5 linked regions of the Canis lupus familiaris genome follow. The protein of the gene in region 1 interacts with the protein of each later gene in a biochemical or structural test. Links are inferred from orthologs where the notes say so. Each region holds a gene or a part of one and is shown in the gene's direction. Other genes may lie near its edges. The genes, in order: FOS, RUNX1, ATF2, RUNX2 and DDIT3.

Evidence for each region.
Region 2: the proteins of FOS (region 1) and RUNX1 form a complex in vitro, tested with the Homo sapiens proteins (2 studies listed by BioGRID). The link is inferred for Canis lupus familiaris from reciprocal best matches to the Homo sapiens genes FOS and RUNX1.
Region 3: the proteins of FOS (region 1) and ATF2 form a complex in vitro, tested with the Homo sapiens proteins (3 studies listed by BioGRID and IntAct, with this or other methods). The link is inferred for Canis lupus familiaris from reciprocal best matches to the Homo sapiens genes FOS and ATF2.
Region 4: the proteins of FOS (region 1) and RUNX2 form a complex in vitro, tested with the Homo sapiens proteins (2 studies listed by BioGRID). The link is inferred for Canis lupus familiaris from reciprocal best matches to the Homo sapiens genes FOS and RUNX2.
Region 5: the proteins of FOS (region 1) and DDIT3 form a complex in vitro, tested with the Homo sapiens proteins (2 studies listed by BioGRID and IntAct, with this or other methods). The link is inferred for Canis lupus familiaris from reciprocal best matches to the Homo sapiens genes FOS and DDIT3.

What each region holds. Positions count from the first base shown.
Region 1 is NC_049229.1:48,646,482-48,652,525, forward strand, and holds FOS (proto-oncogene c-Fos), read left to right. Parts: upstream 1-2,546; 5' UTR 2,547-2,706; coding exon 2,707-2,847; intron 2,848-3,584; coding exon 3,585-3,836; intron 3,837-4,274; coding exon 4,275-4,382; intron 4,383-4,506; coding exon 4,507-5,148; 3' UTR 5,149-5,954; downstream 5,955-6,044. UniProt on the Homo sapiens protein: Nuclear phosphoprotein which forms a tight but non-covalently linked complex with the JUN/AP-1 transcription factor. In the heterodimer, FOS and JUN/AP-1 basic regions each seems to interact with symmetrical DNA half sites.
Region 2 is NC_049252.1:29,878,684-29,884,263, reverse strand, and holds part of RUNX1 (runt-related transcription factor 1), read left to right. Parts: intron 1-1,395; coding exon 1,396-1,587; intron 1,588-5,580.
Region 3 is NC_049257.1:19,437,137-19,443,417, reverse strand, and holds the start of ATF2 (cyclic AMP-dependent transcription factor ATF-2), read left to right. Parts: upstream 1-2,733; 5' UTR 2,734-2,903; intron 2,904-6,281. UniProt on the Homo sapiens protein: Transcriptional activator which regulates the transcription of various genes, including those involved in anti-apoptosis, cell growth, and DNA damage response.
Region 4 is NC_049233.1:13,984,303-13,989,882, forward strand, and holds part of RUNX2 (runt-related transcription factor 2), read left to right. Parts: intron 1-4,033; coding exon 4,034-4,207; intron 4,208-5,580. UniProt on the Homo sapiens protein: Transcription factor involved in osteoblastic differentiation and skeletal morphogenesis. Essential for the maturation of osteoblasts and both intramembranous and endochondral ossification.
Region 5 is NC_049231.1:1,961,476-1,967,809, reverse strand, and holds the start of DDIT3 (DNA damage-inducible transcript 3 protein), read left to right. Parts: upstream 1-1,517; 5' UTR 1,518-1,619; intron 1,620-2,298; exon of another isoform or gene 2,299-2,381; intron 2,382-2,477; exon of another isoform or gene 2,478-2,627; intron 2,628-5,122; 5' UTR 5,123-5,170; intron 5,171-6,334. UniProt on the Homo sapiens protein: Multifunctional transcription factor in endoplasmic reticulum (ER) stress response. Plays an essential role in the response to a wide variety of cell stresses and induces cell cycle arrest and apoptosis in response to ER stress.

The sequences.
Region 1 (6,044 bases):
AGAATTATGAATTCATGGTTCTGTCCTTTCAGAGGATGGATTTATTAACTCTCCAACTCTCTGGTCATAGGAAGGAAGGAAAGAGTTAAGCCATCTGGAGGACACAGGCTCATCCAAAGACCCTTTTCCTTTTATTGACAAAGACAGTATAAAGTGAGATATGGGATAAATCCTGGATATAAAATCTTGACACAGTCTTTAGGTGTTGGGCTGAGCCGATTCAAACTCTAAAGGACAAGTAAATAAAATCATTCTAGGTTTTCTCTTAAGTGGCCTGAGATCCATTTATGAATGGAAGGCAAGGCCAGACCCAGGAATTCAAAGCTTGACCTATTTTGTCGGAGCTAATCAGAAGAGAGATGGATTTGCTCTCAACTCTCATAACTTTTTTTTTGTTAATTAAATAATCAAGGACAGTGAAGTAGCCTGACAGATAAAGAATTAGGAGAACTAAAAGCCGAAGAATTGTTTTAGGGTTCAGGGCACCTCCGAGAAGTCTGTGTTTATGTATTATGTGTTTTTCCTTCTCTCTCCTTTTTTAAGTGAGGAAAAAAAAAAAAAAAAAGCGCCTGAATTCCCACCAACATAAACCAGTGACATACAATGATGAAATTCTGTTTTCACCTCTGCCTGTGACAGGGAATGCAAAAATAGCAAGTGGCCCAGTTCCACGAATCCCCGCCTCCCTGCCCTCCCAGCTCCCGCCGGGTTCTCATCTCTAAGAATGGAGGTTAGCGCACAGCCGCGCGCGAGCCGCACGCAGCCCCCGGACCCGGAGGATGATGTCAGGCGGCGGGAGTGGCCGCGGCGGGGCCGGGGAGGCCGAGGCCCCGGGGGAGCGAGGAGGGAGGGCGGCCTGGCCCGGCCGACGGCGCGCCCGGCCGCGCGGCGTCGCCTGGAGACAGCCCTGGCGGCGCAGTGTTGCTGTAAACAGCCGCTTCCCTGTTACTATCTATAGCAGGATCGCCTGGCTCCGGGGTGCGGCGGCGGGAGGCAGGTCGGCGGTCCGGCTCCCCGCGCGCCCCGAGGGATCCGCCCGCGGCCCTAGTCCCGCCTCGCCCCTTTCCAGGGGTCCACCGCGAGCCCGGGGCCCGGAAGAGTGGGGAAGGCACACGGGGGCTCCGCTGGGCTCTGCGACTTCGCGCCCCGGAGGAGGCCGCGCGCTGGAACCCGGGCTGGGGCAATGTGACCCCAGGTGTCCTTTGCAGCGGAGGAGGAGGCTGGGGGGGTCTCTGGGGGTGCAACGCACGCTCGAGCCCCCGACCGCCCCAACCCGGTTTTCCAGGCCACAGAGCCGCGCCTGAGGTCCCACAGCGGCCGAGGTCTCCCTCCTGGGAGCTGCTGGCTACAGTCCTTCCAGCGCCCCCGGTCCCCCCCCCCCCAAGTCTGCGCTGGAAAATCACCCGCTGTGGGCAGCCAGTAAGCCCAGCTTCCTGGGGGAACCGAGCCTCGTCTAACTTCCCAGCTCGGATTTGCGCTCCCCCGGGGAACTCTCTCCACCCGGTACCCTCAACTGACCACCTTGTCCACATAGCACCCCCGGAATCGCATCCCACTCCCCGGGCCCCAGCTCAGAACTAGGCAAACGAACCCATCAGATATCCTTGCATGGAGGCTCTGCCCAATATTCACTGGCTAGCGTCTCAGATTTGACGGTATCGCTAATGTCCCTAAGTATGGCCGAGAAAAAAAAAATGCGCTTTTTTCCCTAAAAATAAAAAACCAAAACAATTAAAATTAAAATACCCAACATCGTAGATAAAGTAGGTTAGCGTACGTATTCCCTTATTTCGGATTTCCCGACTTTTCTGCTTCCAAATGCAGTAACAGCCCTAGTACTGCTGCGGACTGGGGGCTTGAGGGTCTGCTTTCACGGGGTGCACTGAATCAGGGTAGAATCCGGAATGGCCGGGGGCGGGGGTGGAGGCGGCGCATTCCTTCTGGGGCTGAGGCTTAAGCCCTCGGGCTGTGTACCTGTTTCTCCCATACCTGAGCCCCAGCACATTTCCGGGGCGCCGTATACTGGTAAAAAGGCGCTCCCGGCCCATCCCCCCACCCCGCCCGGGGAACAAGGGTCCGCATTGAACCAGGTGCGAATGTTCGCTCGCGTTCTTCTCCTTTCCCGCCTCCCCTCCCCCGGCCGCGGCCCCCGCCTCCCCCCGCGCTGCACCCTCGGTGTTGGCTGCAGCCGGCGAGCAGTTCCCGTCAATCCGTCCCCCCTTACACAGGATGTCCATATTAGGACATCTGCGTCAGCAGGTTTCCACGGCCGTTCCCTGCGGTCGTGGGGGGAGCCGTCCCCGGAGTCCCTCGTCTCGGGGGCTCCACGGGACCCCGGAGACCCAAATTGCTGATCGCTCAGGAGATAAGGGACCACATTAAGACGGGCAGTGGGGGGCGGCGGGGGCGGCGGCGGCGGCAAGGAGGCCGAAGGCGTGCGCAGGTCGGCCGGCCACCCCCCTGGCGCCGCGATGGTTGCGCCCATGACGTGGGTGGGGGCTCATTCATAGAATGCTGCTATAAATGCGGTGCTGCGGCGCCTCGTACTCCAACCGCATCTGCAGCGAGCAGCCGAGAAGCCGAGACGGAGCCGGCGGCCGCGGCGCAGCGAGCGAGCAGTGACCGCGCTCCCACCCAGCTCTGCCCCACAGCTCCGGCCTGTCTCCGCCCCTCAGCCCCTCGCCCCGGCCCTGACTCACCGCGACCATGATGTTCTCTGGTTTCAACGCCGACTACGAGGCGTCCTCCTCCCGCTGCAGCAGCGCGTCCCCGGCCGGGGACACCCTCTCCTACTACCACTCACCGGCCGACTCCTTCTCCAGCATGGGCTCTCCCGTCAATGCGCAGGTGAGGCTGGCTTCGCGCCGCCGCGGGGCCCGGGGCAGGGTCCGACCCCAGGGCGGAGACTCCGGGGCGGGACGCTCGGGAAGGCGAGTCGGGGGGGAAGCTGCCCTACCGCGGGACCCCCGGACTCGGTGGGGCGCACGCGCGCTGTCCTAGCGAGGATCGGCCCCCCTCTCCCGCGGCAGGCCCGGCTGGGGCCGCCCTCGGGCCGCGCTCCCTGGCATTACCCGGGGCGCAGCGTGTCCCAGGCCGAGACTCGCGAACTAGCGCCTGGCTCCTCCGGGAGGCGACGGGAAGCGGCAATCCCCCCGCCCCCACCCCTCCCCGCGCAGCCCGGAGCCGGGAGGAGGGGCGGGGGAGGAGGGTGAAGCCGGCGGGTGTGTAAGGCAGTTTCATTGATAAAAAGCGAGTTCATTCAGGAGACTCCGGAGCGGCGCCTGCGTCAGCGCAGACGTCAGGGATATTTATAACAAACCCCCTTTCAGGCGAGTGATGCCGGAGGGGTAACGGGGACGCAGCAGCAGGGTGGAGGAGAAACGCGCTGCGTCGCGGGCTTCCTGGGAGGACACGGAGAGCCCCCTGCCTCCAGGACGAGGGGCACATCAGAAGCCCCGAGCAGTCCGGGGCGTGCTTCTCCTCCGCTCTCCGCCGCTGCATGCGGCACTGGACGCCCGGCCCGCCGCACCTGTGTCCGGAACCTGCTCCCTCACGTCAGCTTTGCCCCCTCTGTTCCGTTCTAGGACTTCTGCACCGATCTGGCCGTCTCCAGTGCCAACTTCATCCCGACGGTGACTGCCATCTCCACCAGCCCGGACCTGCAGTGGCTGGTGCAGCCCACCCTGGTCTCCTCCGTGGCCCCGTCCCAGACCAGAGCCCCCCACCCGTATGGAGTCCCCACCCCCTCGGCTGGGGCTTACTCCAGGGCTGGCGTTGTGAAGACCATGACGGGAGGCAGAGCTCAGAGCATTGGCCGGAGGGGCAAGGTGGAACAGGTGAGCGGTTCTTCCAGCACCTTCTCTCAGTAGGGGGCGTGGGTTGGCATTGGTGGAGCTGGGGAGCACCGTGGGCAGGGCGAAGCCACTGATGGAGTCACCACCTATCTGTCCTCCACGAGGAACCCTGGCTCCAAGCCATTTCCGTCCCACGCCGGACTCTGATAGTCCTACCCCAAGAAATACTCTGGTAGTATTTCTTCCCTCATAGGCTCCTTCTCCAGCTTTTAGACCGGGCTCTTCTTTGTTCTCTTGCTAAGGATCTTATTTTAAATGCAAGTCACACCCAGCCCGCAAGTGCAGGTTAGAAATGGCTTCCTCGCAGGGGTGCCAGGAAGCTGGGAAGCTGCAGGGACCAGTTTCACCCCGGGGTGGCTGAACCCAGCTGATGGCAGACCTTGTTACTGACTGTTGGCCTTTTGGAAATTGTTTTTCTAGCTGTCCCCAGAAGAAGAAGAGAAAAGGAGAATCCGAAGGGAAAGGAATAAGATGGCTGCAGCCAAGTGCCGGAACCGCAGGAGGGAGCTGACTGACACGCTCCAAGCGGTAGGTAGACCCTGTGGGTCACTCCTTTTTCAAACTTAGGGGGAAAGTTGGAGACTGGGTATCCGGGAGCAGGGCCCTTGAGTAGGCCCGCGTCTTATGCTTTGCTCTGTCCCTCTGGATACAGGAGACAGACCAACTAGAAGACGAGAAGTCTGCTCTGCAGACCGAGATTGCCAACCTGCTGAAGGAGAAGGAGAAACTAGAGTTCATCCTGGCAGCTCACCGACCTGCCTGCAAGATCCCTGATGACCTGGGCTTCCCCGAAGAGATGTCCGTGGCTTCCCTAGATCTGAGCGGGGGCCTGCCCGAAGCTGCCACCCCGGAGTCCGAGGAGGCTTTCACCCTGCCCCTCCTCAATGATCCTGAGCCCAAGCCCTCCGTGGAGCCCGTCAAGAGCATCGGCAGCATGGAGCTGAAGGCCGAGCCCTTTGATGACTTCCTGTTTCCAGCATCATCCAGGCCCAGCGGCTCGGAGACCGCCCGCTCCGTGCCAGACATGGACCTGTCTGGTTCCTTCTATGCAGCAGACTGGGAGCCCCTGCATGGTGGCTCCCTGGGGATGGGGCCCATGGCCACAGAGCCCGAGCCTCTGTGCACCCCCGTAGTCACCTGTACTCCTAGCTGCACTACCTATACGTCTTCCTTCGTCTTCACCTACCCTGAGGCTGACTCCTTCCCCAGCTGTGCGGCCGCTCATCGCAAGGGCAGCAGCAGCAACGAACCCTCCTCTGACTCGCTCAGCTCACCCACGCTGCTGGCCCTGTGAGCAGGCAGGGAGGGGAGGCGGCAGGCACCCTAGGGTGCTACTGCCCAAGTTGGTGCATTACAGAGAGGAGAAACACGTCTTCCCTCGAGGGTTCCCGTAGACCTAGGGAGGACCTTATCTGTGCGCGAAACACACCAGGCGGTGGGCCTCAAGGACTTGAAAGCATCCACGCGCGGCCTCAAGTCCTTACCTCTTCCGGAGATGTAGCAAAACGCATGGAGTGTGTATTGTTCCCAGTGACACATCTGAGAGCTGGTAGTTAGTAGCATGTTGAGCCAGGCCTGGGTCTGTGTCTCTTATCTCTTTCTCTTTAGTCTTCTCATAGCATTAACTAATCTATTGGGTTCATTATTGGAATTAACCTGGTGCTGGATATTTTCGAATTGTATCTAGTGCAGCTGATTTTAACAATAACTACTGTGTTCCCGGCAATAGTGTGTTCTGATTAGCAATGACCAATATTAAACTAAGAAAAGATATGACTTTATTTTCTAGTAGATAGAAATAAATAGCTCTATCCATGTACTGTAGTTTTTTCTTCAACATCAATGTTCATTGTAACGTTACTGATCATGCATTGTTGAGGTGGTCTGAATGTTCTGACATTAACAGTTTTCCATGAAAACGTTTTATTGTGTTTTTAATTTATTTATTAAGATGGATTCTCAGATATTTATATTTTTATTTTATTTTTTTCTACCTTGAGGTCTTTTGACATGTGGAAAGTGAATTTGAATGAAAAATTTAAGCATTGTTTGCTTATTGTTCAAAGACATTGTCAATAAAAGCATTTAAGTTGAATGCGACCAACCTTGTGCTCTTCATTCGGGAAGTTTTGTAAGATTCTGAAAGGGATTGGAGACCAGTTCGTCCAGAAGGGTAGCTCCTGGAGGGGG
Region 2 (5,580 bases), on another chromosome or scaffold:
GCAATATAGTGGGTCCTTTTTTTTGGTGTGGAATTTGAGACGGTGTCAACTGTGCCAAGGGGCCTGGCAGCGGGAAGAAACGGCAAGCCACGGAGATTTGGAACCATAATATAAGTTATAAAATTTAATTTTGTAATTGTAGCGACTGGGAGCTGGGCTGCGATCTACTTCTCCCACCCCGGGCTGGCGGGGAGTGGAGTCCAGGGATCCTCTTTCTAACTGAGGTCTGGGGCAGGGCATGTGAAAGAGCCCTTGATGGTGGCAACAGGCAGGCTGCTCCTCCAATGTTGTTTGGAGGCCACCTGACGATGGGGGGTGGGGGGGGTGCGGGACGGGTGTGTGAAATTGGTCAATGAGCCTTTATTCGAACCACAGAGGTGAGGAAGGAGCAGGGGCCTATCCTCTGAGGATGGTGGCTCTATCCGTACATCCTGAGCCTGGGTTCTGCTTGGCAGGCCTTGAGTCTCCAGTTTAAAGCCATCTTGTTGGGGGGATAAAGGGAGCAAACTGGAGGCCCAGCCCTCCCGGCCTGTCCCATGGGACTGGCCTCTGCTCACTGCAGGGGGAACACGGCAACACATATACTTACTGTCTATACGGACAGCTGAGTGGCCCAACTGTCCACCCTGGATTGCTGAGCCCCTGGGGGAAGCTCATCCAGTCTGCGGGCACAACCTCTAGGTTCCAGATGAGGCCCTGTCAACCCCCTCCTAGAGGGTACACGGGGGGAAGCGGGCTTCGGGGAAGAATGCTGAAGGATGCTCGTGAAAAGCTTTCGAGGAGAGGGAGCGAAGAGGGGCCGAGGGGCTGCCCATGCCCTGCATCTAGCAGGAAATCCGACCTCCCCCAGGACTGTGGGTTTGCAGCCACACCTCATTTCCTGTTGGACGGGGCGTGCGCTAAGCTGGGCGGCCCACTTTGCTGCCCGTGGCCGGGGTTGCAGTGAGGAGCGGCTGTTCTGATGCCACAGGGAGGGCACCTTTCCTGGCTGCCCTAGCTCAGCCCGCAGTGCGTGGCCAAGTGCCAACAATTAATGCACCTTCCCTCGCTCCCGACCTTACACCACCACGATCCCCGCACGCCCGCTGCATTCTTGCCCCGCGGGGACAGGCGCAGAGGCTTGGGGAGATGGGGCGCAGGCTGGGGCAGCACCCCGTGGCCTGTGATGAAAGGGAGCCCCGGCTGCTGTGGGGTCGGTGGCCCTGGATCTCCCCTGGGAGCCAGCCAGGTGCGCCAATCTCCAGCAAATCCACGTTGGGGGTGAGGGGGCAGGGAGGGGCAAGACAAGAGAACCCCGACTTTTAGCAAATCCACAATACATTTTCTGATCTTTTCCCTCCCTCCTTCCTTGCCTCCCTCTCCCCTTCCCACCCTCCACCCCCCTCCCCACAATAGGACATCGTCAGAAACTAGATGATCAGACCAAGCCCGGGAGCTTGTCCTTTTCTGAGCGGCTCAGTGAACTGGAGCAGCTGCGGCGAACAGCCATGAGGGTCAGCCCACACCACCCAGCCCCCACACCCAACCCTCGGGCCTCCTTGAACCACTCCACTGCCTTTAACCCTCAGCCTCAGAGTCAGATGCAGGGTAAGTACCTGGAGGAAGCCCGCTTCCCGCCTCGCCCTCGGGCCACACCCCCCAGACCCATCCTGGCTTCTGCTCCTTGCTCAACGGGTGGTCCTCGGCCCAGCAGCCTGGGAGCTGGTTAGACAGCAGAGTCTCTGGCCCGCCCCAGACCTACTGAGTCAGATCTGCACCGTAATGAGATCCCCAGATCGAGAGGCACTGGCACCTAGGATATGGAGAGATAGATATCTATGTGTAGATAATATCTTGAATTTTTTGAGTTAGCTTTGGCTCTGCTGTTTTCCTACCTACCCATGAGGCTTGAACACACACACACACCAAGCAAGGTGAAAGTCAGGACATTTCAAGTTCTTATTGCCTTCAATTATTTGTGGGGTTTGTATCTATATGTTATTGTTTTTTTTTTAATATAAAGAAATACTTCGATAGCCTGGATGCCATCACATCAAAGGTATTATTGACAATAAATAAATTTGCAATCAATAAAGAATGCAGGTGGGCCCCCCCTCCCGATACCCACATACCCGGGTTTAGCCAGCAATTGCAAAAACAGGGTAAAATGCAATAATTGCATAAAACATGCTGTGCCAAATGAGAGAAGACGCACAGTTCATTTGCACCATAGAAGCCACTCTTGTCTATGATGATTTGCTCTGCGATACCATTTCGAATTTCTGAAATCCAGTTGTTTTCTCTGTGCTGGGCAGGACGCAGCTGCGTACGATACGGTCACAGTGAGATTCTCCAAGCAGCGGGCTTGTCTAACTCAAAGGGAGAGATAAGCAACACATCTGGGGGAGAGGGCAGGTGGCCAGCCAGGGACATGCTACTTGCCCTCTGGGACCGCAGAAATTAGCTTCCCCGGGGGGTTTCTCTGCGCGGGTCCTATCGTGGGACATGTCCCGGTCCTGAGTTCTCTAAGGTTTTGGGACCAGTCGCTCGCTTTGGTGGTTAGGATATGCTTTTGGGGGGCTCTGGAAAGGCAAGCAAGCACCCTTGCACAGAGTCTGATGGCTCATGCCTCGAGCTCTCCTAGTTCTGCGTCTGGGGGAGGTTCTGTTATTTGAATGGAAAGTTTCCAGACAAGACTTCCTGTCAGATAGCAGGCACACAGCTGCTAAGTGGTCCATCTGAAGGGTGGCCCCCTTGTCCCCAAACAGAAACGTAAAGCTTGATTTGGGCGGGTTAGCTCTCATCTGCAGATGCATCTTCGGCGTATTTAGGAAAAGGCCTCCTTGAGATCCTCAGTTTTGTGGTGCTTATCATGAATACTTGTTCGAGATATGCATATTGATTTTTTTTTTTAATGCCAGAATGCAAGCGTGTACGGTAAATCCGATCGAATGGCACGTTAAGTGAGAGGGATGAGTGAGGAGTGAAATGGTCCTTTCCTTCCGAACAGAACAAATTCTAGAAGGCGATCCCCTGATCCTGTGTGCGGGGCCGCTGAAATTAATTTATGCCATCCTCAGACCTCCATTCGTAACATCAGAGGGAAGACTCCTGTTTTCTTATGGTCTCAGCCCATAACTGACAATTTATCCTACTGGGCTGAGTAAGGGTTTTTCCTCGCTCTGCTGGTATTGGAACCCAAACTATTAAGCATCTTTAAAAGCAAGGGAAGATGCAGGGTGGCAAGTTGCAATGGTCACCCTTTAGGCTGGCTTCGTGGCGGACAGTTTTGGTGAGGAATGAATCAGATCTGATTTGCCTCCTGGTCAGATAGGCTCTTTTTCCCCAAAAGAAGAGGGGGAGGGTGGTAAGTGAATTCTTGTCCTGGGCCGCCAGCAGCTCTCGGGTGGAGACATTACCAAGGCCGGACGGGCATTCTTCGGCTCTTTGGAATACTGTATGCTTAGCAGAGTATCAGGTTTAACACAGAGCCTCTCCCCTTTCTTGTTCCTTTTAAAAACTTTTTACTTCTGCAACATGTAAGTAATAATAACTTGCTTTTAGAGTGCCCTAGAGGTTTGGTTGCTACTCTAAAGAATGTGTTAACTATATTGCTGAAGCTCTTTCTTTCCAAAATATGATTTGCTCTTCAGTCCTTCACTTGTAAAATTGGAGGAACTTTTTAAAAATAACTACCCAGGATACATTCATGTAAAACTACTTTTCCTTTTTCTTTCTTTTTTTTATTTCCTATAAGAAAAAATGTTTTTTTGTTTTTTTTTTACCCTAGTCATGTTTTGAGTAGACCCGAGGGATTTTTTTTCCCCCTGAAATTAGAAAGTTAACAGGGATAAGAGTAAAGTCTCTTTCAGCCAGAACCTTCATTTTGTTCTTGACAAGTAGGAAAATGCTTATTTTCCTGGCTTAGCTCTAGAGACTCCATATTATACTTAAGAAGATGCTTTATATAAAAATCCAGCATGTGTTTATGGCTCTCTTTGAAATGGCAGTCATCGTTGTAAGAAAAATATCCCAGAGGTGGTCACGGCAATTCTTCAGCGGTGCCGTACGGGTGTGTGACTGTTTTCAGCACCGGGAAACGTCAGCAGCCGGGGCTTTGGAGGGATCGTGGGGTGACAGAGAGGCTGGGACCTCATCTGGAGAGCTATGTCTGCCCCTTGAACTCTGGCACTAGGAAATCACAGATCCAGAAAAACGCCTTTATTTATCTAGAATCAGATGTGCTCGAGAATCCCTCAGAATAGGCATCTCAAATTATCTGAAGCAAGGGAAGAGGGAGGGGGGGCAGGTTGCCATGCCACCAAACCACTGTTTATTTGTTGAGGTTTTAACTATTAAAAGGGCTGAGGTTAATATCAACTTCCTCCTTTACCAGCTCCTAAAATTGAATAGAAAGTCATTTTGTCATGGCTACGCGACTCGTTTGGGACGTCATCGCAAACTTCTCCAGGCGAGTCTTAGGGCTCTTGTTCAGTCGTGGGAGGGAAAATGGACACGTGTCCTTTTAAAAGATGCGACCAGCACAGATCCCAGCGAGATGAAGTCGCTGATGCTGGATCGGTCACACATGCTCCCTTAGAGATGGCTCCAGGCAACCCCAGCAAGTCATTTGAAGAATTTGCCTCTTGATTTACCAAAAATGATGAACCACATTTAAGGCTGCATGACCCCTTCCTTTCTGGGGAGGATACCCAATATTTGCTGATGCAGAAAACTGTCAAAACTGGACAAAGAGGCCAGTTTTGTTGTTCTCGCGTGCGTGGTCATAAACTTCCAGGCGTGAGGCTTAACTCTTTCACTGGACCAGTTATGGTGTATTTTGGCACAGGTCAGGCCTTTTGTATACATTATTCCGCTCTCACCACAATCCTGTGCTGTGGTTTATAGACAGAGCAACTGAACCTCAGAAGCTAACAACTGCCCAGAATCTCCAAGAGCATGAGTGACAGACTTGGACCCAAACCCAGACCTTTCTGGCTACAGAGCCAGGGCTGACGGGGTGGCAGTTTCTCTTGGATAGAGGATCGATTAGACACAGGGCTGACCAGTGTCCAGAAGAATCCCGATTGTCAAAGGGGAGATGGGAGCAGTGCTGGGCCGGACGTTCACTTGGCAGGACTGTGTTGGTTGTGTTCTGTAGATATCGCTAATAATGAGAACCTTAGGGCCAGAGTCTGTGGCGGGCACCTCGATAAGCTGTCTTTTTTTGACTGGTGTGTGTGGGGGGTGGGGTGGGGGGAGATGTACATTTGTTTTGCAACTTGAGGACAAAAGAAAACTCAGAATAATGCATCTCTAGCATGAGGGAATGAGGGATGAGGGGGAGGAGGAGGGCTTCCCAGCCACCCTCTGTCTGCTTTACCGGGGCAACAGCCTGGCCTTCCTGCATGGAGGAGTCTCTCTTGGGGTCCAGTGGGACCAGAGCCTTCTTAATGTCTAAATCCAGGCAACCTCTGATGAGCCTCGAGGAGTGTGGGTGCCTCGCTTTGAGAGTACGGTCAGGCACTGGAGAGCCTGACATCTCCGATTCACCTCCTGAGTTTTAGTAATTCCAGTGATTTTTGTGTTGATAGTGTTTCC
Region 3 (6,281 bases), on another chromosome or scaffold:
GTGGCTGCACCAACCTGCATTCTCGAAATGCCAAAACATTGAAAGTTCTTTTTCTCAGAGAATTAGGCATTTTGAGAGATGGAGTGAAGAAGTACCATTTTAGTGAATACATACTTGACCTAACAACTTGTGATTTGTCAATTGCACATCCTGCCCATTATCATATTTTGTGTCAGTAATCTGACCTGCTGAGGTTTAACTGATATAATTTGTGCTATGTGACTCAAACACTACCACAATTCTAATACTAGATAGGACTAGTACTTTTATTTTATTTTATTTTATTTTATTTTATTTTATTTTATTTTATTTTATTTTATTTTAATTAGGATCTATGATCCAGACTTTTTTTTTTTAAGGTTTTATTTATTTATTCATGATAGAGAGAGAGAGAGAGAGAGAGGCAGAGACACAGGCAGAGGGAGAAGCAGGCTCCATGCCAGGAGCCCGACGTGGGACTCGATCCCGGGGACTCCAGGATTGCGCCCTGGGCCAAAGGCAGGCACCAAACCGCTGAGTCACCCAGGGATCCCCAGTACTTTCATTTTAATTTGGGACATGAATAGTGTTAATATTCTAGCTTCTTTTTGGTCTCTTGAATAATGAAATTAGTTGTTTTTTTTAAGATTTTATTTATTTATTAAATTTAAAATTTTTTTAAAGATTTATTTATTTATTTATTCATGAGAGAGAGAGAGAGAGAGAGAGACAGGCTGAGAGAGAGAAGCAGGCTCCATGCAGGGAGCCTATGTGGGACTTGATTCTAGGTCTCCAGGATCACACCCTGGGCCGACGGCAGGCGCCAAACCACAGAGCCACCCGGGCTGCCCAGTGAAATTAGTTTTAAAAGACGAGTGAGTTGGCTCACATACGTGTACACAGGCCAGAAACCTGCTAAAATGTTCAGTGCCATGAGAATTTCACTTTTATGCCAGATACCATTATTAAACTGCAAATTAACTTTTCAAATACGATACCCCACAAACTTCCAATAATTTCAGTTTCACTTTGACTTGGATGTTTGAGAGTGCATTTTACATTAATACACAAACTTTACTCATAACTTGTCATAGACTAGAAGTCATATAATACATGAAAAACCAAGGCACTGAGAAAATCTAACTTTAAAGAAATCATTATAACAAATGTTTGTGGGAGCCCTTGATCATACTTTCCATTGTGTCCATTTATTGAACAATCAATATCCCCACACTTGACGTCGAAATATTTAAGTTATATAAAGAATCATAGAGCAACATTAAAAAATATTTTCAGTACTATTCTTTGTGTTTTCATGAGTGTATCTGTGTCGACTGCAGAACAGAAAATATGGTATCTTTTGTCCCTCAAGTTAAATTAATCAAATGGTCTCCCTTCTCTAACTCTTTTTTAAACAGCTACTTTCAAAGCTTGACAGACATTTCTTTGTCATCGTAGCAACCTAGTGAGCACTGGCTAGTATTATGAGAAGAGAGCCATTTCTAGTCCATATTCTAATTTGGTGTTCTTCGGTCCCCAGTAAAGGTTACTAAGGAGTTGATGTTTTAAAAGTTTGAAATTATCTGCATTAAAGGTGATACGTTTAAAATCTGTAACTACTAAGTAAAGGGAAATTGATAGAATACACCTTCCTAAGGAAGATTTTCTCTTGCAAGCAACTCCTTGAGCTGTTTCAACTTACAGTTATATAGTGGGGGGCGCTGCATTTCATATCCTTCCGGGTACCAGGCGTTCAGGAGCCGGAACAACCAATATCAGCGATAGCTTCGTAAAATTTGAACAAATGCCATCCAAAGGCTTTTTCATTTCTTTGTAAAACTGACTTTTTTTTTTTTTTGCAAAACTGACACTTTTTTTTTCTTTTCTTTTCTTTTTGCAAAACTGACTTCTCTTGGGACTCCCGGGTGGCTCAGCGGTTGAGCCTTCAGCCCAGGGCGTGATCCTGGAGACCCAGGATCGAGTCCCGCATCGGGCTCCCTGCATGGAGCCTGCTTCTCCCTCTGCCTGAGTCTCTGCCTCTCTCTCCATCTCTTATACATAAATAAATAAAATCTTAAAAAAAAAAAAAAAAAAGCTGACTTCTCTTTCCCGCTTCAGGCGTGTGGAGGCCTTGAGGGGGAGGGGCATTTTGCTGCAAACTCCGCCTCTCCCAAATCTCAGCTCCACGGAACCTCCCCGTCTCACATTTCAGGGCAGCAGAAAAGTGGGTCCAGGCGCGCGCCCGCCTAACGTTTTGCCCTCCTTCCTACCCAGGGCCCGGAAGGGACGGCAGCAGAAATACTGGGCTCCCGTGACGGAGCTCGGAGGCCTCCTCGCGCCTCCCCTCCCGCCACTCGCAGCCTCTTCCGCAGGTCCCCTCGTCCTCGGCGCGCACCGTCAAGCCCTTGGGCCACCCCGACATCCACCTGTTCCCGCATCCACAGCCCCGCCAGTCTCCAGCCCCAGCCAATCACAGCCTTCCGCAGGTGACGGAGGCTCCTCCCCTCCGGCTCCTTCGGCCCCGCCCCCTTCCGGAACCGCTTCCCGCCCTCTGGGCTCCTTGACCAATCGTCTGCGACTGAGTGGCCTTTGGTTCCCGCCCCCTCCAGCCCCTCCCTCCTCAGGTCCCGCCCCCTGCCGCTGAAGGCTGACGGCATCACCTGACCCGGAGGCGCTCGGTCGAAAGGAAGGCAAGAAGGGGCGTGTGCGCGGAGGGGAGGGGCGCGAGAAGAAAGGGGGGATGCCGGGAGCGGGGCGGGGAGAAAGGGGTGTCAGTCGGATCTCGCGAGAGAGGACGGAAGCCTGTGGGAGCCCGTGGCCTTTAAAGTGCGGTTCAGCCCTTTCCTCCAGGGGTAGTTTGTAAACACGGCTGAGCTCGGGCCTCCCGGGCGGCAGCGAGAAGCATGAACTAGCGACCTGGGAAGGTGAGTAGCGCGGGCGGAAGGCCGCAGGGCTGCGGCTGGAGGGAGAGGGAGAGAGAAGGCGCTAACATGGCGACGTCGCTCCGCGTAGTCCCCACCCCCCGCTTCCCATCGCCTCGGGCGCTCCTGCCTCGGTGCCCGGCCCTCGGGGCGACCCAGGCCGTCCCGCCAGCTGCGCGGCAGGCGCGGCGTCGGCGGCGGGGAGCCCGGCCGGCCCGGCGGGCCCGTTATAGGGAACTGGCGTTCGTCGTTCCGGCCCCTCCCCGCTCGCGCGCTTTCCTAACGAGGAGGAAAAAGGAATAACGGCGCCTCTTAGACCCCTCCCCCCCGGTTCGCCTTCCCCTTCCCCGGTTAGGTCGGAGGTGTCCGGGCGCCCCCACGCCGCACCCCCGGGGGCGCAGGGAGACCCCCGCCTTCAGCCCTTGGATCTGCAGGGAGAGGGCCGGCTCGGGTCTCCCCGCCCAGGACTCGGGGGTGCGGGGACTGTGTGGGTGATGCTGGCGGGGAGGGGGGTCGGGGTCCCCGCCTGCGGCCGCGCCGACGGCCTGGGCAGCCCGGGAGCTGGAAGTCCCCGCCGGTTCTGTCCTTTCTGCCCCCTCACACTCCCGCCACCCCCCGCTTTTTCCCTGTGGGGCGGGGCTGAGGTGTGGGTGCAGATTGATTCTGGTATTTTCCCCCATTTTCTTTCTTTTCTTTTTTTTTTTTTTTTTAAACCTCCCCGCACGGACTGCAGAGCCTCTGTAGGGTAAATAACCTGTGCCTTTTTTTTTTTTTTTTTTAATGCCCTAGGGACCAGGGCCGAGGGAGTGACTGTGTGTGTCTGTATTTTTTGTGTTAGCTCGTTGAACCGACGCTAGAGGAAGGAGAAGGCGGAGGAGCTGGGGATCATTTGTGTCCTTAGATAGTCTGAAATTGCTTTCGCTTGGGGGGCGGGGGCGGGGGGGGGGGGGAGTTGAAAACTGGTTGAGGCCAAGCGCAAAACTACCGTCAATATGGTAGAGTAAAGGGATTACACCTGATGGACGACCTTCGCCCTGTTGACTGATAGTTAAATCATAATGTGAAAGTCCTCATTTCTTGGGGGTTTTAAATTATGGAGACGGTAACCGTGCGTTGACTTTAATGTACACACTTGATGTCCAGACAAACCTGTACCTCTCTGAGTGCACTTTGTGTCCTGTGTGAAGAAACCACTGGCACTGTCAGTAAGTAATAGCCTTTCTAGGCGTCGTTTTTAAATAGCCGTGTAACCTTGGTCCGTTGTACCAGAACTTGAAGGTAATAAGCTTGTTCAAAAGTCAGCCCTACAGGTTAAGTGACCTGAAAGGCAAACACAGTAGCAATTCCATCTTGTGATTACATTTGTTACACTGATTTGAGGAATCCGCTGTAAACACTTCGCAGAACTGCAAGAGTATCTTTGTAAAGGATGTTTAAAAAAAAAAAAAAAAGAGATGCCCTCTTACAGATAAAGAATTAGTTAAGGATGTTCTTGAATCTTTAAGGTCATCAGTAATTGAGTAACAATTAAAAATCTTGGTCTTTTTTTTTTTAAGATTTTATTTATTAAAAAAAGAAAGATTTATTAATGAGAGAGAGAGGGAGGCAGAGACAGAGGCAGAGGGAGAAGCAGGCTCCATGCAGGGAGCCCCATTTGGGACTCCATCCCAGGACCCCGGGGTCACGCACCTGAGCCGGAAGGCAGATGCTCAACCGCTGGGCCACCCGGGCATCCCAAAAATCTTGGTCTTTGTAATTTATAAGAATCTTACAAATTTATGGTTGTTTGTATGCTGCTTTCCGAAGACCTGTTTTATCTTGCTTCGAGAGGATTACGGCCATTAGATTTTTAATTATTTGAAATATATTGTGGTAATTTAGAACATAGATGTTTGTATTTGTCAATAAGGAAGGAGCTTTCAGGAACTGTGTGTGTGTGTTTTTAAGGTACATGTGTCTTCTGTAGATCTCATTGCATTTCTTGGAAATTCTTTTTAACCTTATAAGAATGTATATTTCATCCTTGGGGCACTATATCATAATGTATTAAATATGTAATCCAGAAATTCCTGTATTTTCTTTACTTGGAGTATTTGTTTCATATTTTTAAACAGTACAAATTAAGATTATTATGTCAGCTCTTTAACATAATTTGGAGGGATGCTTTTTCTTGGTATTCAGGATTTAAAAGCTATCTGAATATCATTTTTAAAAATGTTATGCTAGGGGCATCTGGGTGGCTCAGTTGGTTAGGTGTCTGCCTTCGCTTGGAGTCATGATCCCAAGGTTCTGGGATGACCCCCCGCCCCACTCCTTGCTCAGCAGGGAGCCTGCTTCTTCCTCTCCCTCTTGTTAGTGCTTGCTCTCTCCTCGCTCTCAAATAAAATCTTTAAAAAAAAAATGCTACACATCAAATGTCTACTACCTATAACTAGCATTAAGTCTCAAGAAATAATTACATTTTTTCCTACCTAAATTGTTGTATTTTGAAAAAGTTGGGTTTTAATGATTTAGATGTTCTCTGCTGATAAATTGTTAGATTATATTAGATCAAATGTGTCGATCTTATCTGTGTCATTTTGAGCAAATAATACAATCCCCCCCCCCTTTTTTTTGGTATATTTTTTTATTGGAATTCGATTTGCCAACATATAGTATAACACCCCGTGCTGGACAGCCCAGGTGGCTCAACGGTTTAGCGCCGCCTTTAGCCCAGGGTGTGATCCTGGAGATCTGGGATCGAGCCCCATGTCGGGCTCCCTGCATGGAGCCTGCTTCTGTCTCTGCCTCTCTCTCTCTCTCTCTCTCTCTGTCTCTCATGAATAAAAAAAATAAAATCTTAAAAAAAAAAAAAACAGGGATCCCTGGGTGGCGCAGCGGTTTGGCACCTGCCTTTGGCCCAGGGCGCGATCCTGGAGACCCGGGATCGAATCCCACATCAGGCTCCCGGTGCATGGAGCCTGCTTCTCCCTCTGCCTATGTCTCTGCCTCTCTCTCTCTCTCTCTCTGTGACTATCATAAATAAATAAAAATTAAAAAAAAAACAAACAACTTGTCAACATACAGAATAACACCCAGTGCTCATCCCGTCAAGTGCCCCCCTCAGTGCCCGTCACCCAGTGATCCCATCCCCTCCACCACCTCTCCTTCCCCTATTCCTTGTTCATTCCCAGAGTTAGGAGTCTCTCGTGTTCTGTCACCCTCTCTGATATTTCCCACTTGTTTTCTCTCCTTTCCCCTTTAATCCTTTTCCCCATTTTTTAATATTCCCCCAATGAATGAAACCATATAATGTTTATCCTCTGATAATCTCTCTTTTTAAAAACTCATTGAATAACAGTAATTGGATAGTTAAATGATCCTTAGAAATTAATACATTTA
Region 4 (5,580 bases), on another chromosome or scaffold:
ACAGAACTACAGATTGTGGTAATAGCCATAAAAAAAATACACGGAGGCTGTGCTCGAGAAGGAGGAAACCTGCTCTGGGTATAGTAGGCAGGCAAGGCCTATCATAGGAGGTGGTGTTCACTCTGAGGTCGAAGGGGTGGACCTAACAGAGAAATAGGAGGAGAGCATTTTGGGAATACAGAGAGGTTCTGAGATGGGAAACTGTAAGAAGACATTGTCAGATGCCCAAGAGAGAGATGATGGGGTCCTAGACTAGAGAATAGAAGTGAGGGAACTGAATGGCTTTGAGATACACTTTTGAGATGGAAATGATAAGGCTTGGTAATAGGTTGAATGTGGGGAGTGACAGATAAGGGGAAATCAAGGAAAATGTCTAGGTTTTTGGCTTCCGTGAATGAGTGGCTGGTGCCACTTACTCAAATGAGGGTACTCCTGGAGAGGAATAGGGTTCTCTGGCAAGAAGAGTCAAGAATTTTGTTTTTAATATACTGCATTTAAGATGTCTTAGACATCCCAGAGGAGAGTTCAGTAGGCAGCGGGACCTACAGACCTGGAACTCAGGACAGAGGTGAGGGCTTACCTCAGAGATGGGGGAGTCACTAGCATGAACAGGTGGCATCAAGTACATGACTGTGAGATCATCTTGGGCAGTGGTCCTTTGCCTTGGCTGCACATCAGATCCTGTGCTAATAAGTAAGCTTTTACAAAATAACTCCTTGGGACCCACTTGCCAGAGATTTTGATTTAACTGAGCCGAGGTGGGGTCTGGACGTCTATATTTTTCAAAGCTCCCTGGAGGATTTCCTAATCCAGCTGGAGTAGAAGAGCCACTGCTCCAGGAAATAAGTTTCCCATTCTTTATACCTTCCTCCTGTTTGGAAGACACAGTCTTCGGCCCTTCGGATGAGGTTCAGTTCTCCCTGTACCATTGCAGAGTCTTGGATTTAACTCTGTTGTGCCCTTGTCTTCCATGTTCTCGGTCTCTTAAGGGAGTACTTGAGTATGGAGGATTTAAGTAGGTCTTCTTTCAGCCCATCACTCTCATGCTAACCCTGATGTGGTTTAGCGGTAGCTGGTGTTTGTCATGGTTGAAAGATGAAGAACCCTTTCAGCTTCTGTTCTTCATTGTACCGTAAGAATTTTGTTGTGGTTGTGGTGCTGGCTATGAAGGGGCAGACATCTACAAGGAAAAACGCATACCTCTTTTTATACGTACGCAACCGCAGATAGATATTCTCTGAGTTACTCTAGGTGTCTGTAGGTACTTGGTAGCTCCTGTTTGAAGGTAGTTTCCATAAGGTCATTGAGGCTTTTAAAATTTCACCTGCTCTTACATTTTTTCATCCTTATCAGTGCTGTTTCAAGTCCTTTATTCTTGCCTACAGCCTCTTGTGGCTCCCCTAAAGCACTGTGCTAAGAGGAAATGGCAAGGGTACTCACCCATCCATATGCTGAGCTCATATCTCATCCAGTCTCTGTGAAAACCCAATGAAAAGGCTGTAGAAAGCAGAGGCAAGGCTTTATTAAGTTTTCTTGTGACCCATAGCCCACATAAAGTCCCAGTGTTTAAAGGAACCATGCAGGCTCATGTAGTCCTCTCCTTAGTCCTCAGGGAATCTGACATTCCAAAAATATGGCCTATTAAAAAAAATAACTTCCAGGGACAATTCCATAAGCTTTCTTGTTAATGTTTACAGCTGTATCAACACCACAGCAATGTTTTTTTTCTTTTCTATGTATATGGGGAACAGAATCCACGGATCTAACTGTGACAAGTACTCTGTAATTCCCTAATTGTGAAACTAGTTAGACATAGCAAGATGCATCAGCGGAAGTTTGTTTAGGGTAGTGGGTGAGCTATTAAAGTTGTAATTGAATCCTCGCTGCTACTTCTGCTCATGCTGAAAACCAGCCTTGGCCCTGCACAGGTGTTTCTGTCGATATGGATATTTTGGGCAACTTCGTTAGCTAGGACGGGAACCATATACCATCCAGGCTGAGCTTGCTGATGGCTAAAGACCACAGGCTTGCTGTTTCACCTCTGCCGGCCCTAGTTGCTTTGTCTATGACCATCTTGCTGGCTGCGGGTTGGGAGCTGTTTGGGGCAATCTCTAAAGACTGCGGAAAGTTCCAAAATCTATTCATAATCTGGTTAAGAAGTCCTAAACAATGGGGAAAACAGCATAAAAAACAATGAATTCGCTTGGTAACTTTTCTCCTGATCTCAGTTCCTAGTTCCAGCAGATGCCCCAAACTGATGCTGGCAGGAAATAGGGTGGTGGGCGCATTTCAGTTAATGGACCTATTTGGAACATGTTTGGCTGCGGAGACAGCTACGCTCATATTTCCAAGCCTTGGCTTCCTGTCTGTTTTCTTTGGGCTGGGTAGGCAATGAAAAAGGAGACAGGAAAATACATTTTGGGGCAAATAAAATAAGGAATCTGTCTTATGAAGACAGCTTATAGCTGGGAAATTCTAATGTTCACCTTAACCCTCTCCTGATAGATTGCTCTTGTCCTGTACTGAGAGGAGGATGAGGTGTTCTTGATACTCATAGAATATACCTCCTCACTGTCAAAGGCTCTTAATAATCCTCCTTCCATTATTTTTTCTTTTTTTTTTATGGATAATAATCCTGATTTCCCTGATTTTTTCTTCAGAAGGCAAATTCTGATTCCAGTCATCATCTTAATGGCTCTTGTTTTTTAAAGAGAGGGCGTGTATATGCACACCTGTTCGAGAGGAGAGGGGAGGGGCAGAGGGAGAGGGAGAAAGTCTCAAGCAGGCTTCACCAGCACGGAGTCTGAGGCAGGCCTCAATCTCATGACCCTGAGATCATGACTCAAGAGTCAGACGCTTAACTGACTGAGCTACCCAGGTGCCCCTTAGTGGCTCTTTGAATCAGCTTCAGTTACAGTATGTTGCGGTGACAGACTAGGGCCTCATTCTGGTACAGAATATGGAAGAAGGAATCTACAGTGTATTTCTGTTCACATATGAGGCATTATCGTACTCATTCACCACTCTGGCACTCCACAGGTGTGCACTTAACTTATGTAGCACCAATATTCAGATGTTTTTCTGTTATACTTGCACCAAGACAACACTGTACTCTGCTCAGAATGATTTCATGATTTTCAAAAAGCCTTTGAACCTTCTTTATATTGTAATTTGCATATTTCTTTAAAATCTAGAACTTCCTTAGATTTTAGACTTGAATAAACTGGAAGAGAGACAAGGTTTTTTTGTTTTTTAATAATGGATTCTCACATTCACATGGTAACCCAAATGGTATTTTTCTATTTCTTATACAGAATCATAGTACTAGATTTAAAATTAAAAAAGCATTTTCTCTGATTTAACATAGTTTATTTATGTGCTTTTAGGTTTTGGGGTATCACAAAATATCCAGATTCCTCTTGAGAATTTGAGTTTCCTTCACTATATTTCCATATTTTTCCTCTTAAAGGGGTTTAAAGGTTTGAGTTTTAATTTTTCAGAAAGCAGTCACAGTAAGGTATAGTTGTAATAAAAAAAAAAGTCAGTTATATCATTGTGGAAATTTCCCTTTGACAAATGTGTTTGTCTCTGTTTCTGCCCCAGTTTTGAGAGAATATGTGTGACGTACACAGACTCTTTGAACTTTGGGGAAATTTCTTCCTTCGTGAAACAGGCAGACACATCCCAGTACACAATCACCTTTCCCACCATCGCCAAGAGGGTTAGAGGAGGCACCCAGAGAGTCTCTCCTGAGTTCCGGCATCCTGGCCTCGCTGCTGGCACTCAACTCCCGAGTCACCATCTGGGACCCTCGGCTCTCCATTCATAGGACAGAGGAGTAGGAATGCTTGCCACCAGATGATGCTTATAAAACCACTTGCGATAGAAGGCATTATAGAGACACTTCATTATAAATATCAGTATTGATGGTTCCTTGGCTTAACCCCCCAGTATGTATGTTCACATATCTATTTAGTATGGTCAATTGTTCAGCTAATTAATATGCTTTTATTTTATGATTTGCTGTTTCCAGGGCACAGACAGAAGCTTGATGACTCTAAACCTAGTTTGTTCTCTGACCGCCTCAGTGATTTAGGGCGCATTCCTCATCCCAGTATGAGAGTAGGTGTCCCGCCTCAGAACCCACGGCCCTCCCTGAACTCTGCACCAAGTCCTTTTAATCCACAAGGACAGAGTCAGATTACAGGTAAGACAGATTCCTAGGTTTCACTTGCACACGTTCCGGCAGGCTGGGGGTGAGGGGCTGCCACATGAGACGCACTCACTGCAATACTCCTGGGCTCTGAAATGGCTTTATTATTAAAGAATCAAGACGTGAAGATCTTATGGACCTCCTCCTCCTCCTCTCGCTCCTCCTCCTCCTCCTTCTTCTTCTTCTTTTTTTTTTTTTTTTTTTTTTAACGAAAAACAAATTCCAGTATGCAGTAACTTGGGGATAAAATTTGGGGGAAGTTGCTGTGAATGCTGTACTCTGGAGCACTGTCAGTCTGCACACTGGTGGAGGGTAATAACTATGCTCTCTAGGAGAATGTTCATTAATAAGTTTCTGTACTGGGCCCTGGGTGGCGCAGAGGAGAGCATCACACCCTCGCTATTAGAAAATCAGTGTTACTGTCTCAGACTTGGGCTTAAATTTCTTACATGTATAACTATTTCATTAAGTTTGCTTGAAGATTGCCCAGGGCTAACAGGAAGCCTTGATTGGTGGGTGTAAGGCAAGGTCAATGAGCTGCTCATCAGGCAAACAGAATTTGCTGCTGATTCACATTTAGCCCCGGGTCCTAATGCGACATTTCTTTTTATACTACATTCTAGTAAGCTGCTTACTACCTTTCTTCTTAAAAATTAACGTCAGCATTGCATTACAGACTAATCATTCATGTTTGGTGCAGTAAGACTCCCAATTCTCTCTCTCTCTCTTTTTTTTTTCTGCCCCATTTGTGCAAAAACAGATCTTGCTTTTAGTGCGATTGCTTTTAGATCATGGTGACAGAGGAGTGTGTCAGTCATCATAGATTTTTAATTTGCTGATCACAAGTATTGAGAGCTGATGTCACCTAGTCATGTCATTTGGTTTCTGTTGTTGGCAAGGGTGGACTGGAATGGAGGGAAAATAACTCAAAATGTACGGTAAACTCTCAACATTGATCTGTTCTAATGGTGAGGTTTTCCCTCATAGTGGCTAGGTGTTAAGTGTCCTTAATGGTTTATAAACATAATTGTTTATAAATGGATGACCTACCTCTCTATCTCTCCTGCCCATATTAGATATACGTCTTCTTGGATATTTATTTAGAGTGAGTGTATGTATATTAGTCTGCATATAAGGGTATACCTGAGTATATATTTAAAAAATAATACAGAATTATAAAAATAAACTATTTAAATGCTAAAGAGAACCAGATATCTGCGTCAGGGAAGAACATTAGAGCTCTGTGAAGAGTAGCCATTTATTAGCCTAAATAATTCCCTAAATATTGATATGTAGGAATCAAAAGGCTAATGCCTTTACTAGACATGTGTCCTTAATAAAAATGCAAGGGTGAAATTCACACTAAC
Region 5 (6,334 bases), on another chromosome or scaffold:
CGGCTCCTAAACTTTCCCTCTCGTAACAAGGCGCCCTGTCACCCAGCCTGCTTCCCTCTGCCTGGGGAGGAGGGGAAGGCGCACGAAGTAGGAAGGAACTTGGGGAGAGGGCGGGCGGAGGGTGGGCGAAGCACTGAGGGAGGGAGGTGAAGAAGGCAAAAGTCAAGCAGTGCGAGGGAGAGACGGCGGGGGCAGGTGAGGGCGGGGGGGCGGGGATGGGGCCGGGAAAGGGGCCGAGGACGCGGGGGGCAGAGGGTAGGGACAGCAGGGGAGGGGAGGGGGAGGGGCGGGGGGGCCGGGCCCTGCACTCACCGCGGCCCATGGCTCGGCCGGCCCCGCCCTGCGCAGTCGCGGCCCAGAGGGTGAGTGGGAGGGAGTGGGAGGAGGGTCGGCGGAGCCCGAGCCTCCGGTACGGCCCCGGCCGGTCCTAGCAGGAAGCGCCGCCGCCGCCGCCGCGGATCACCGAGCGGCCTCCCGCGCATGCGCCATGGGGGCCAGGGGCAGCCCTGGGGATTCCGTTCCCAGAAGGCACCGCGCAGGCTGCCGCCGCCGCCGCCGCCGTCGCTGCCGCCGCCGCCGCCGCAGCCGCCGCCGCCGCCGCCGCCGCCGCTGCCCGGACGGGAGAGGGGCGGGGCCGGGCCCCCGCCCAGCGGACAACGACGAGCCAACAGGAGGGGCCGCAGTGCGCATGCGGGAGCGCGCCTACCCCTCCCCCACAACCCCCCATTAATCCCCAAGAGAACAAACACCCCACGCGGCCCCCCCGCCCTCCGCGGAAGGATCTGAGCCTCTTCCCAGGCCACCGGCGGCCAATCCCAGCCCTCCCCGGGGAGGGGCCCCTTCCAAAGCCACAGTCTGTCGGGGGAGCCAGGAATGCCGGGTCCGGGAGGGGCCGGCCCCAAAAGATGAAAGTCGCGACTTGCCCTGCCCCGCCCCAAAGGCTTCCCGGGTAGTGTGCTGGGACTTGACCCGCCTCCCCAGGTCAACATGTCACAACAGGACCTCCGCCTGTCAAGTCACATGACCTCTGCCTGTCACTGACAACCTGGTCATGTCTTTGGGCCAGGAGAGACCATCTGGTCCAACCCACCCCCACCCCCATCTACTGAAGGGGAAATGGAGGTCTGGAGCAACGGAGCAGGCCCGGCCGAGGACCTGTCACCGTCACACCACCACCTAAACCTCCTTGCAGCCACAACCGGCCTTGTGACAGATTCTACTTAACTCTGGCTGCCCCCGTGAGGGTATGACAGTGAATACAACCGGCCGCCACATGGCATCTTTTTTCTCTCTAATGGCACAAGAAAAACGTTTGCATTTTAAGCGATGCTTTTCACTTTTGTTTAAGCTGCCTCCAAGTTCATAGTGCTCTCGTTTTACCTTCACAACTCGTCATCCTTTATTTACAAACAAGAACGGTTGTGGCACAGATATTAGGGGGCAAGTAAAGGGGCAGGTGAGGCCAGACTCTGGGCTCCTGACAACCCGGTGCAAGGCGGCTGCGCGCTCAAGTGCACCCAACGTCCCAGGCAACGAGGCTCTAAGGTCGCCCGAGCACCGAGGCGGCAGGCGGCGGGTGCACGGCTCCTCACGCAGGAGTCACAGGACCTGCGCGGCTGGTACAGCGAAAAGGGCGGGTCTTGATCCTTGGTGGAGGCACCAGAGTACGGGGGGGGGGGGGGGGGAGGCTGAGAATCGCGTCCACCGGGCCAAGTCCTGAATCCTGGCATGCTGAGCGCTCATCAGAAACTTCACAAAGATAAAAGTTAGGGGTGCTTTTCGGCGAGGAGCTGAAAATGACCATCAAAAGTACTCAAGTTCCTCGGCCCCTTCTGGGGGAATTAGGGAGCTAAACGGGATCTTTCTATGCGCCTACTCGAGGAGACGTTAGGCGGTCCTGTGGCTGCATGCAAACTTTCAAAAGAGATTGGCTTAGAAGACCTCGCGCCCACTAACTAGGAGGGGACCGAGCAAAATGGGAGCCCCCCATGCAGACGGCGAGGCGGGGGCTAACGCCAGGTGGGCGGAATAAGGGCGCCGAGGAGGACGAGCCGCAGCGCGGCTTCGCAGGCAGCCTGAGGGCGGCCACGGTTGGGAGCCGTTGGGGCCGTTGGGAGCCCGGCGCTGGCGCCCCGCCCTCTCCTCTCCCCCACCCCCCCGCACCGCCCACCACCCTCGTCGGCCCCTGCGCGTGCGCGCCGAGACACCGGTTGCCAAACATTGCATCATCCCCGCCCCCCTCTCCTCCCCTCCTCCCCTCCCCCCCAGCTCTCCCCTCCGCGCGCGCGCATGACTCACTCGCCTCCTCCGCGGAGCCTCGTGACCCAAAGCCACTTCCGGGTCCGACACCACCTCTACCCCCGGGCCGGCGGGAGCGAAGGGGGCGGCGCCGCGGGGGCTGCTGAGTGGCGGGCGCGGGGGGCGGGGCGGGGCCAGCGCCGGCGTGCCGCGCCCTGATTGGCAGGCTTGCGGGCCCGCCCCCGAGGGGAGGGCAGGGCCTCCTTAAAACATCCGCGCTCGGGCCTCCGAGGTCAGAGGCTTGAGTGTAAGGCACAGAGCGGATCATGTTGAAGATGAGCGGGTGGCAGCCACAGAGCCACAGTCAGAGCCGGAACCTGAGGAGAGAGGCGAGTACCGATCCCACCTGCTCTTTACCCTCTAGTCCTCGGGGATGCTGGTTGTCCCTTCGAAGTTGGGGCATCAGCTGCTCAGGATGCGGCCCCACCCGTTCCCCGACGAAGTTAGTGACAGTTCGAGGGAGGGACGGGGAGCATCCTTTATCCGGGAGTGGTGCTTACAGACCTCTCTTCCCTCGGACGGGAGCGGCGCCCCACCCTGCCCGGAGCGCGGGCCCGGCTCTGGGCCGTCGGGCTAAGGGGTCCGGATGCCCTCGGGAGACTCCCTGTCTTCCGCTGCTGCCCTAGGCCGCCTCCTTGGTCCTGTCCGGTGGGAGGCGGGGCGGCAGGACACTCCCCCACGCCGAGACGCCTGGATGGCTCTGGCTCACGCCCTTGCCGCCACTTTCCCACCAGCGGCCCTGCCCCTACCCCACCCCCAATCCTGTCTCAGCCCAGCGTCTCAGGGCCAGAGTGGCCACGTCGGTGGATGGAGCTCCTGGGTCCTGCACAGGACAGCCATTCCACACCCTAACGGAGAAGAGAACCTTAAGGAGACAGACTCCAGACTTTGGGAGGAGGAGGGATGCCAATGGCTAGGGAGCAGAGATGGGTTTTCCCATTCCCCCAGAGGTCCCGGGGGCCTCCTGCACAAGAGAGCATTCTGGATCCCTTAAGTGTGGGAAGCCATTTGGGGTCTCCCCAGTGTAGGGTCCTTCCGCAGGGATTTGTCCCTGCTGCTTTCCCCGCGTCCTGCCTCCCAGCTAATTTCTGTGTAACCGTTGCATCAGGCCAGCCCCCTGTTTGGCTCTGCAGCCCTCTGGCCTGGGGCCCCACTGCTGATGAAAGCGGCATCCCACACGCTGGAAGGCAAGGAGGGTCCCCCAGGGAGGACAGCCCTGAAGAGAAACACTCTGGGAGATATTGCATCTCCAGTCCCCAGGGCTGGGCAGCTGCTGCTCTGCCTCTGGGCTTCCTCCTCCCTTCCCTATGAGACACTGGGGAGAATTCTTTCATTCTTCACAAATTACTTATTACACACCTGCTATGTGCCACACATTTTAGGCCCAGGATGCATCTACGAACAAGGAAAAGACCTGTTCTCACAGAGCTTACATTTCGTGGGAAAAGGTGCACAGCGAACAAATATAGAAGTGCCAAGGAGAAAACCAAAGCATGGAAGGGTAGTGAATGCCCAGGATGTTTACCTTGAGTCATTAGAGATTCTCTCACAGAGGTGACATTTAAATGAAACTTCTGAAAAGAGGCAAAGTAGTAAGCTGTGCAGATTTGTGAAAGGAAGAGCTTTCCAGGAGAAAGAACAGTGAGAACAGAGGTCCTAAGGTGGGAGTGTGCAGAGTTTAGGGAGCAGGCCAGCTGGACGGACTAGAGGGAGAGTGGTCAATGAGAAATCCAGGGCAGGGAAGGAGATTGTGTGGGGCCTTCTAAGCCATATTAAGGACCTTTAGCCTTTAATATTCATGAACTTTAGTCCTTGAAGAGTTTTGAACAGACTGACAGGACCTGACTAGAGTTTTAAAAGGCTCACTCCAGGGATCCCTGGGTGGCGCAGTGGTTTGGCGCCTGCCTTTGGCCCAGGGCGCGATCCTGGAGACCTGGGATCGAATCCCACATAGGGCTCCCGGTTCATGGAGCCTGCTTCTCCCTCTGCCTGTGTCTCTGCCTCTCTCTCTCTCTCTCTGTGACTATCATAAAAAAAAATAATAATAATTAAAATAAAATAAAATAAAATAAAATAAAATAAAATAAAATAAAAGGCTCACTCCAGCTGCGTGTTGTGAACAGACTTGGGGCAGGGTGGCAAGAGCAGAAGCCGGGAACCTGAGTAATCCAGCAGAGGAGAGTAACTTGACCTAGATTGCAAACAATGGAATTCTTGAGAAGTATTCAGGTTCTGGTTTTTGAAGAATGAGTTTAAAAATTGGGCTGGTGGTTTGAATTGGGTGTAAGAGAGGAATGAAGGGCAGTACTAATGCTTTTGGCTTAAGCACGTAGAGTTGCCATTTACTGAGATGGGGAAGATGGAGGGAAGAGGTGAGCAGAATTTGTCTTTGGATATATGAAGTCTGAGATGCCTCTTAGATATCCAAAAGCAATAAGCAGCTAACACAGTTGTAGGTCCCAGGAGAGGTCGAGGCTGGAAATGTGTATTTCCAGGATGTCAGTGTGGGAATGGAATTAGGAAAATAACTTGATTTGTTCCCTTCCCTGTCGTCCAGTCTTTTCCCTGGCAGTTTGAGGCCTACCTTAAATTTAGAGAAAGTCAAGTTGGCCATGATTTTTCTATTATGTAATCAGGACTGCAAATGTCAGCAACTAAAAATAAAGGTCAGGCTCTCCTCTGTCCTTGGAAACGGCTGCAGGGACCACTGACTGTCCATACCCTGTAAGACAGAAGTGAGGAAAGACCGATAGGAGGCTGGAGATAAAAGGAACTGTCCCTCTCCCTTCCCAAAATGGCTAACCTCTGTCTTTGATCCCCACAGTGTTCCAGAAGGAAGTGTATCTTCATACATCACCACACCTGAGAGCAGGTAAACTTTTTTTTTTTTTTTTTTGAGAGCAGGAAAACTTAACCATCCCTTTCCTAGAACCAATTTCTAAGAGATGCCGCTTCGGGTCCCTGTCTTGGGGCCCTAATAAGTTATGAAAACACCTAGAGAAGATAAGATAGAGTTTGAATCTGAGCAGACTTTTGCTGACAGCCACATCCCTCCTCCTGGCCTGCCCCTAACTAGGTGACCAAATCACTATTCTTAGAGCATGTCCTAATTGAAAGCTGGCTGAGTGAGCAGTCAGCCCCAACAAAGAATTGGTTTGTCTTACAAACCTCAGTCCCCATCAAGGTTAGACTCACCCAAAGGACTCCCCACACAGGAGAAAGGAACACAAGATGGTCTGATAATTGCCCCCTGGAAACTACCAACAGAGTCCCCCAAGGAAGGCTGAGGACTTTTACCAGGATCCCATAAGAATGTGTATTCTACACCCATGCTGCTTCAAATGCCGGGCAAAAGCAGCAGAGAGGGAATACTAGTATACAACCAACTGATAGGGGCAGCCCCGGTGGCGCAGTGGTTTAGCGCTGCCTGCAGCCCGGGGTGTGATCCTGGAGACCTGGATCGAGTCCCACGTCCGGCTCCCTGCATAGAGCCTGCTTCTCCCTCTGCCTGTGTCTCTGCCTCTTTCTCTCTCTGTGCCTCTATGAATAAATAAAATCTAAAGAAAGAAAAGAAAGAAAGGAAGGAAAGAAAGAAAGAACTGCTAGGGACGCCGGGGTGGCTCAGCGGTTGGGCATCTGCCTTCAGCTCAGGTCGTGATCCCAGGATTTGGGATCGAGTCCCGCATCAGGCTCCCTGCGAGGAGCCTGCTTCTCCCTCTGCTTGTGTCTCTGCCTCTCTGTGTCTCATGAATAAATAAATAAATCTTTAAAAAAAAAATTAAATAAAAAGAACCAATGATAAATTTTAAAGGGCCAAACAGTAAATGTTTTGGATGCTAAGGTCTCTGCTCTTACAGCATGAAAGCAGCCATAAACAGTATGTAAATAAATATAGTTATGTTCCAATAAAACTTGACCTGCAAACAGGTACCAGGCCGGTCTGCCAACCTGTATAGACTAACTGCTTTGCGGAGTTGTTCCACTCCCACCCGGCCACCCCCACCCCCCACGCCATCCTGAGTATGTCCTTTTCCAG